Linked DNA regions of Oryza sativa Japonica Group. The protein of the gene in region 1 interacts with the protein of each later gene in a pairwise test. Links are inferred from orthologs where the notes say so. Each region holds a gene or a part of one and is shown on either strand. Other genes may lie near its edges.

Region 1 (3,080 bases):
GGTGAAGCCGTAATGTTTGCTCTGCACGTTCCATTCGTTAAATCTTTTGCTTTTTTTTTGGCATGATTAAATCTTTCAGTTGTCTGTGCAATTTATAACTGTCTACTAGCACCGCAACATTATCTTCATTTGAAAAGGCGAGGGTAAAATAAAATGCTGCACTGACAGGGAGCATCACAAAGAAATGCATGGAATAATAAAGAGGCCGGCCGGCCGGCCGGCCGGGCTGGAGCAGTACTACCGGTCTAGCCGGTCCATCCAAAACAGCATGGGCATGGCTACCCTATACAGTACACACGCACGCACTGTGCCAACGCCTTTGGCCTTTCATCAATGGTACGCCTCTTCCCAAGGCAGGGGTCGTCGCCGCTCGCTGCGCTGCACCATCAGCGCTCGACAGGTCCTCCCGCTGTCCCACCCAGCAGAAGGCAGTCAAGCCTCGCGCGTTCCCAAGGCCCCCCCCTTCTCTCCCTTCCCTTCCTCCCGCTGCTGCTGCTCCTGCCGCGGCAGCCTAGCTAGCTGCGGCCATGCCATGCCCGTCTCTTCCCCAAAGTATTTTTTCCCACATTCAATTCCCCACGAGATTTGGACGGGTCGAGCCGATCCATCGTCGGGTAGGCGCGAGATAGCTACTGCTGCCCGCGGCGCTGCGAATCTACTCCGGACGAGGAGTAATTTGGAGCGTGACAAGCGGCTGGCTACCCACCCACCGAACGGCGTGCGCGCGGACAACGCCGTGCCGGATAGGCCACCCACCCACCGGGGCGCGCCGCGGCGACTGCTACTGTTGAGCGGCGCCGCGCCGCACGCGTCGGCAAACCGCGGTGCTGCCTGCCTGCCTGCCCCCCGCGCCACGACACGGCTCCTGGACCTCCTCGCCCACGTGAACCCGACCCCGGGGGCCGAATCGTGCCACGGCACGTCGCCCCCCCTACGCCGAAACGCCAACCCCACACGTTACCTCCGCCGCGGTTGCTTTCCTTCTTCCCTTCCTTCCATCCGCCTGCTGCCGCTGGCACGTCGGGACGTAGGAGGAGTACTAGTAAACGTACGTACGCACTCGTCACGGGCCCGGTCACGTCCCCTGGGCCGTACTGTATCTCGCTTTCACCCTTGGTAGGCTAGTCCGCCGCGTCAACACGACGTAACGGACAGGGGAGAGGTATGGAGGAGGTGGAGGGCCCGTGCGGTCAGTGTGCAGGGGGGGTAGGGCGTGCAGGACGGATAGGGCGTTGGGGGTGGTGGTAGGGCTGGCGTCACGGCGATTAGACCATTCGGGGCGTCAAATCGCGCGGCGGCTGGGGCTTGATGGCCGAGGCCGAGACGGACACCGCGCCGCGCTGGTCAGCGACAGCCTCAAACCCCCCAAAACGCAGCAGGCCCCAGAGCGGCAGACACCTACTCCTACTAGTACTAGTACTACCACCATCTCCCCATTTCACGAGGCGCGCGCAAACGCAAAGCCGACGCGAGAGCGAGCGGCCACCGCGCGCTAGTAGTAGTAGCGAGCCACTATAGATTTGGCTCCCGTATAAAGGGTCGCTGAGACTTGCTTGTCGCTGGCAGTGGCAGCTGCCGATCCGTCCGTCAAGGCACAGCGCAAGCACAGGCTCTCGCTCGTGGAGGCGAATGGAGCTGGACATGGGAGCGGGAGGAGGCGGTGGAGTAGTGGGAGGTGGGCGAGCGGAGGCGCACTACCGCGGGGTGAGGAAGCGGCCGTGGGGCCGGTACGCGGCGGAGATCCGGGACCCGTGGAAGAAGACGCGGGTGTGGCTCGGCACCTACGACACGCCCGTCGAGGCCGCGCTCGCCTACGACCGCGCCGCCGTCGCGCTCCGCGGCGTCAAGGCGCGGACCAACTTCGGCAGCGGCAGCAGCGGTGGTGGTGGCGTCGGCGGGCACGGCCATGGCCACAGCCACGCCCAGCTGCCGCAGCTTCACCACCGCATGCACCCGCCGCGGCCGCCGCAGGGCCCTGGTCACTTCGGCGGGCTCGACATCAGCCACCCTTCGCCGTGGCACTATGTCTACTTCCCGGCGAGGGTGCAGGCGATGGCGCCGGCGGCGGCTGGCCATGTCGCGGCGCACGTCGCCGCGTCGCTGCCGTCGACGACGCTGGAGCTCCGGACGGGGCCGAGCGCCGGCGAGCTCCCGTTCGACCTCAACGAGCCGCCGCCGGCGCTGCTGTTCGGCTCGTGATCTCGACACGTACGTGAGTAGAGCATCACTGGGTAGTACTAGGACCAAGGATCAAGCTTAGAGATCACTAGTAGATAGGGGTAACCGATTAATGTGGGAGTGGAGAGCACTGGTCCGGCTGTGTACATACGTACTACTATTTAAGGAAAGTTTAGCGTTCTCACATTGCCCCTGTTCTTGTTTCCATTTTAAGAACTTTTTAGCGTACAGCTTTTCATCTCTTCTGTAGTATAAGACGGTTTTCTCACTCGAGGTTAGTACTATTACTGACCTGAGAACTTGCATGGTGATGGTGGTTGTGGGGCGAGTGAGCGGTTGGTTCGGAACATTTGGTTGGTCAAAAGCTAGTACTACAAAATTTTAATTCATGTAAAATACTAGTACTGGTATTATAAGAAAGATTTCAGTTATACATATTGATCAGTAAATCAAATATACTTAACGCTCTAAACTACTAGTGCTATCAATGCAAGCCCCGTTAGTGAAAATTAACAGTATCAATGGGGTTTCAAAAAATTAACAGTATCAATTGATATCAATGCAGCCTTAATTTACTTAACTGTTTAAACTCTAAACTAGGGTTTGTAAAAAGACATTCAACTCGAGATGAATGGCACACCCGGCGTCCCGAGCTCCCGGCCTCACTGACTTGACCATCTGCTTAAAAGTCCCATCACAAAATGGCTCGCGAGTCCACCCTGTCTCGATTGTCGTTTCCTGTAGTATTACTAGTACACACGTTCGATTATGCTTCTGTAGTTATGCGCACAGCTTATTAACTACTCCATGTGTCCTTAGATTTTAAATTAGATATTGTAAAATAACTTATGATAAAAAATCTATAAAATCAACTCTAAAATAAAGTTTTAAATTTTATAATT
Region 2 (4,482 bases), on another chromosome or scaffold:
AGTATTTAAGCCTCATGGCAACCTTAAGTTGCAATATTAGTCTGATATCTACTTAATCAAACTAAAGCATTTTACATCTCTGCTAATGGGTCACATGTCATAAAACAAGCCCAGAATCAAAGAACATTTGTACAAACATAGATAGCACCATCTGCATTTCCCACAGCATAGTTCAGCTATTTCAACCAAGTAAATTGTCACGAGCAACAAAGTTTCTTGCAATGGATAACACAACTCAGTGAATGCACACCCAATGTCTGTAACAGTGTTCTACCTTCTCATAGAAGGACAGCCAAAAAAAAAGCCCCTGATATATCCCAGTAGAAGAAGGTTTAGGAGGAGGCCTCTCTGCCTATGTTCACCTCCCTCCCAGTGTCACGCTGCTACTGCGCACACATTGCCATATACTTTACTCGCTTGACTCTACTATGAACTACTACTATACCATACCATACCATACCATCTGTCACTTAACTCCAAAAACATCACCTGATCATCATCACAGCTACAATCAGCTAGTAGTACTACCTTGATCAAAGCCCTAGTAGGACCAGAAGCCGAAGTCCGGCTGGTCCACCACCATGTCCAGCTCCGGCGTGGGCTTGCAGAGCGGCTCCGGCTCCGCCGTCTTGGCCGGCGACGACATGGACGACGGCGAGCCGGTGGTGGTGGTGGTGCTCCCGCCTCCGCCTCCGCCGCCGCCGCCGCAGCCGCGCGCCCGGAGGCGGCGGCCGATGTAGTCGTTGCTCATCCTCAGCCTGACCATCTCCGCCTGCGCCAGCGCCAGCTGCGCCTGCAGCGCCTCCACCTGCTGCTGCAGCGACGAGATGGCGCCGACGCAGCCGTAGATCGGGTCCCTCACCCGCGCGTTCGCCTCGTACACCAGGCTGCTCACGGCGTCCCCCCTGTGCTGCACCGGTATCTCCTGCATTCCACCACAATCCCAAAGTTTCAGACATATGATTGTCATAGCAGCAGAGTTTCAGTCAAGTCACATCTGAATGATCTGGTTTTGTGCAGGCACCAGTACATGACAAGGTAGAAGAAACGTCCATTCCCACCTGACAATCGTGCAAGCACACACACAGTGAGCCAGTGACATTGTGACAAGGCTACTAGGAGGCTAGGGCCAAGGAGAAGAAATTGAGAAAAGATGGTGGCGATTTGGGGGTGTCTCTCTGGTTCCAAGAAAAGGGAATGGAAGGAAGGATTTTTAGGGACATTTTTGCATGTTTGGTGCAGCCGAAAGCTTTTTTTCTTTTTCTTTTTACGCAGCATGTGCGAGCCTTGTGTGAAGGTGACTGCCCAAGGCTGCTGAGACTGTGAGGACGAGGCCGTATACCACCACTGATGGGCTACTGTTTCAGGCGGCTCGACACATGGGGGAGGGTTCAGTTTGGAGATCACTATGCTGAGGTCTCTGTCGATTTAATTAGTACTACAACACACTGCAGTACTCGAACTTGCTCACAAAAAAAAAAGCAATCTTTTCTTTTTCTTTTCTTTGGCTAGGTGATCTTTAGCACATAAGAAATGCTTTGGGTTGCTGCATGGATGAGGACCCAGTGGGCAGTGAAAGTAGGATCTTTGCCATGTTTATTTTGATGCACATGCCCAGTACATGTGCCACTCACGGTGAAAACTGAAGAACAAGTGCAAAATTCTGAAAGTTCAATTCTGAACTTGGCATACCCAGGAAATGAATTTAGGCTGGCTGCTAGTAAACAGAAAATATAGTTGCCGAATTTGTCAAAATCTCGGTGTATTCAGAATCTACTATTACACCATCTAATACAGTATATCATTCTGAGATTATCAGGCCTTCGTTCAATTTTTTTTTCCTGAGAATTGCAGGCTACATGTTGGGAAAACACCGTAATCAAACGAAACCACTAAACCAATATTATCCCTAGTACTAGCATCGTCGTTATGGCCCGGGGAAACTTTCTTAACCATATATGTTAAAAATAAGCAATCCATTTCTGGCGAAACAAGATATCAATTTTGTGCACTACTACACATTTGACAAACTGTGGGCTAAACAATGGCAAGAAACATCACATCTTTCTAATGAATTGGCACGGAACTGAAAAGGAAAAAAAGATCCAAGAACTGGTAGTAACTCGACTGTGTCTGTGTGTGCATGAGCGCGATGATACAGAGAAAGAAGGCGGTACAGAGATTGTAGACGGAAACAGAGGGAATTGAGGGCTCGTGAGACGTGCGTACACACGACACGAGGAGGCAAGGCAAGGCATGTCATGGCATGGCAGCTAGGGAGAGAAGACGATAGATTGAGAGAAGAAGCAGCGATCGTGCGGTATACCTGGAGGAGCTTGCTGACATTGCTGGCGCCGAAGACCTTGTGGACGTTGGCGAACTTGTGCGGCTCGCCCGGCGGGAAGTAGGGCGCGAACACGCACCCCGCCGCGCACCGCCGCCGCAGCAGCTTGCACGCCGCGCATGGCGACGCCGCCGACCCCGACCCCGACCCCGCCGCCGCCGCCGCCAACGTCACCCCGCCCTGCCCCTGCTGCCTGCTCGCCGCCTTCGTCCCGCCGCCAACCGCCACCACCACGTCCCTCATCTCTCCCTCTCCCTCACCAAGAAACTCCTCTTCTCCCTCTTGCACTGCAACCGCAACAACTGCAACTGCACTGCAGCAATATGGGTGTTGCCAAATCGGGAGATGATGCGTAGCCCGCCTACTGCTATGGCTTTAGCTAGGACGGGGCAGGTTGGTTGGGGCGACGCTTTTTAGAGAGGAAGAGAGGAGCAGAAGCAGAGCAGAGCAGAGAGCAGTTGGAAGCAGCAGCAGCAGACAGCGAGATCGTGGCGCGGCCGGCCGCTGTACGCAGCGTACTGGAGTAACGATGCATGCATGCTCCTCTCCTCTCTCCCTTCTCGCTTCCATTCCATTTGATTTTTATGCACCGTCGTCTCGTTCTCCCCTCACCCTTTGACCGATCGATCATGTCCTGTTGTGCCACGAACAACACGGAGAAGACGGCACCAAAAAAAAAAAAAAGCAATGGTGGGCACTCATGCTGATTGCTGCTGCTGCTGCTGCTACATTGAGTGTTTGTTTGGCTTTGTGAGCGCTTTTCGGCTGGGTTTGTACTATTAATTTGAGCACGAAATTGATCAGCTTTTGTACAAGCAAAATTGTACGAAATGTGTGGAACGGTGATTGCTGTATTTACCCTCCGGTGAGGTGGAACGTGAAGTGTGGTGAATCAGTCGGTGCAGAGCGAGGACGCAGAGGACGGTGATAGAGCATTTTGTCGGATGGTCACCATTAACAAACAGCACCAAAATCCCGGTCAATCTCTATTTATTATTATATCAGTGTCTGTCTCTAGGCTTAAGATTTGTGTAGAGAGGTCAGGCAGGCGACCCATCATTTCCAGTGCCCTGTGAGACGGCGATGTCGTGCTGCAGTAGAGACAGATCGATCGATCGATCGGGTCGGTCGACGACAGCATGCTGCCTGCATCTGCATCCTTACATATGCATCGACCGCGGCATCTTTTGGTCCATCCAACGGATGGGCTTCGTCTCCTGAATCTTGGACGGACGGACGGATGGTCTGACGGATGTGGGACCCGAGCGTCAGAGCTTTGTACTGCTGCTGCTGCTGCTGTATTTTGGTCCGGACCAAGAGCATCATCGCTGAGCGAGAGAAAGAGAGAGACCGTGGTGATCGATGGCCACTTGATTAACCTCGTCTAACTTTTTTTCTCTTTGGGGAGACACGGCTAATCCATGTCAGTACTCAGTAATCCCATTGTTGCTTCTCTCTGCGAGTAGTGATGAGCTTCTTTTCTTTTTTTTTTTTCACTTTTTGTTCGTTCTCGCGACCCCTTGTGTTGCTTGCTTGGTTCTAAAGAAAGCTGGGTCGGCAAGTGATCAATGCGAGTCGGCGGGCACACATATCAGGTGGTGATTATATTTTGGACACTTTGCACGGCACCTTTGCTACTGTGCTGCGTGTGTACAGAAATGGTGCATATGAATCAGCAGAGATTTGGCTAAACAGCTAAGCTCATGTGGATCCTTCCATAGTTGAGGACCTCCAGATAAAAGTTTGTGCATCTTTCACTATTGCAGGATATCTCTACTGTCCTAAAAACAGAATCATTCTCCTTTCATCCTGTCATCCCAACACACACAGCGCGTCCATACGTGAAAAGTAACCACCATTTCTCCCTAATTATATGGTATGACTCGTTAAGTATGGGCTCTCAGTCTATTTCTAATTATATGAGTCTGATTTATTAAAATTTACATACTTGTAAATGTAAATAGTAGCTTAAAAATAAAATGGATAACCAGGACAACTACAGTGCAGTGCTGCATCCAATTGCTCTTTTAACTGTTACTGTCAAAGGGTGTGTCTCAAAAAAGAAGGAAAACCGTAAGGCTGTAAACCCCACACAAAAGGAGATTCCAGTACTACTACCTCCAATCCCGAGAATGGTT

Evidence for each region.
Region 2: the proteins of ethylene-responsive transcription factor 12 (region 1) and LOB domain-containing protein 4 interact in binary tests that used the Arabidopsis thaliana proteins (3 or more experiments, as listed by UniProt). The link is inferred for Oryza sativa Japonica Group from reciprocal best matches to the Arabidopsis thaliana genes ERF12 and LBD4.

Annotation. Positions count from the first base shown.
Region 1 is NC_089039.1:24,542,265-24,545,344, reverse strand, and holds ethylene-responsive transcription factor 12, read left to right. Parts: upstream 1-1,561; 5' UTR 1,562-1,629; coding exon 1,630-2,199; 3' UTR 2,200-2,418; downstream 2,419-3,080.
Region 2 is NC_089037.1:26,708,808-26,713,289, reverse strand, and holds LOB domain-containing protein 4, read right to left. Parts: upstream 2,809-4,482; 5' UTR 2,588-2,808; coding exon 2,327-2,587; intron 926-2,326; coding exon 542-925; 3' UTR 157-541; downstream 1-156.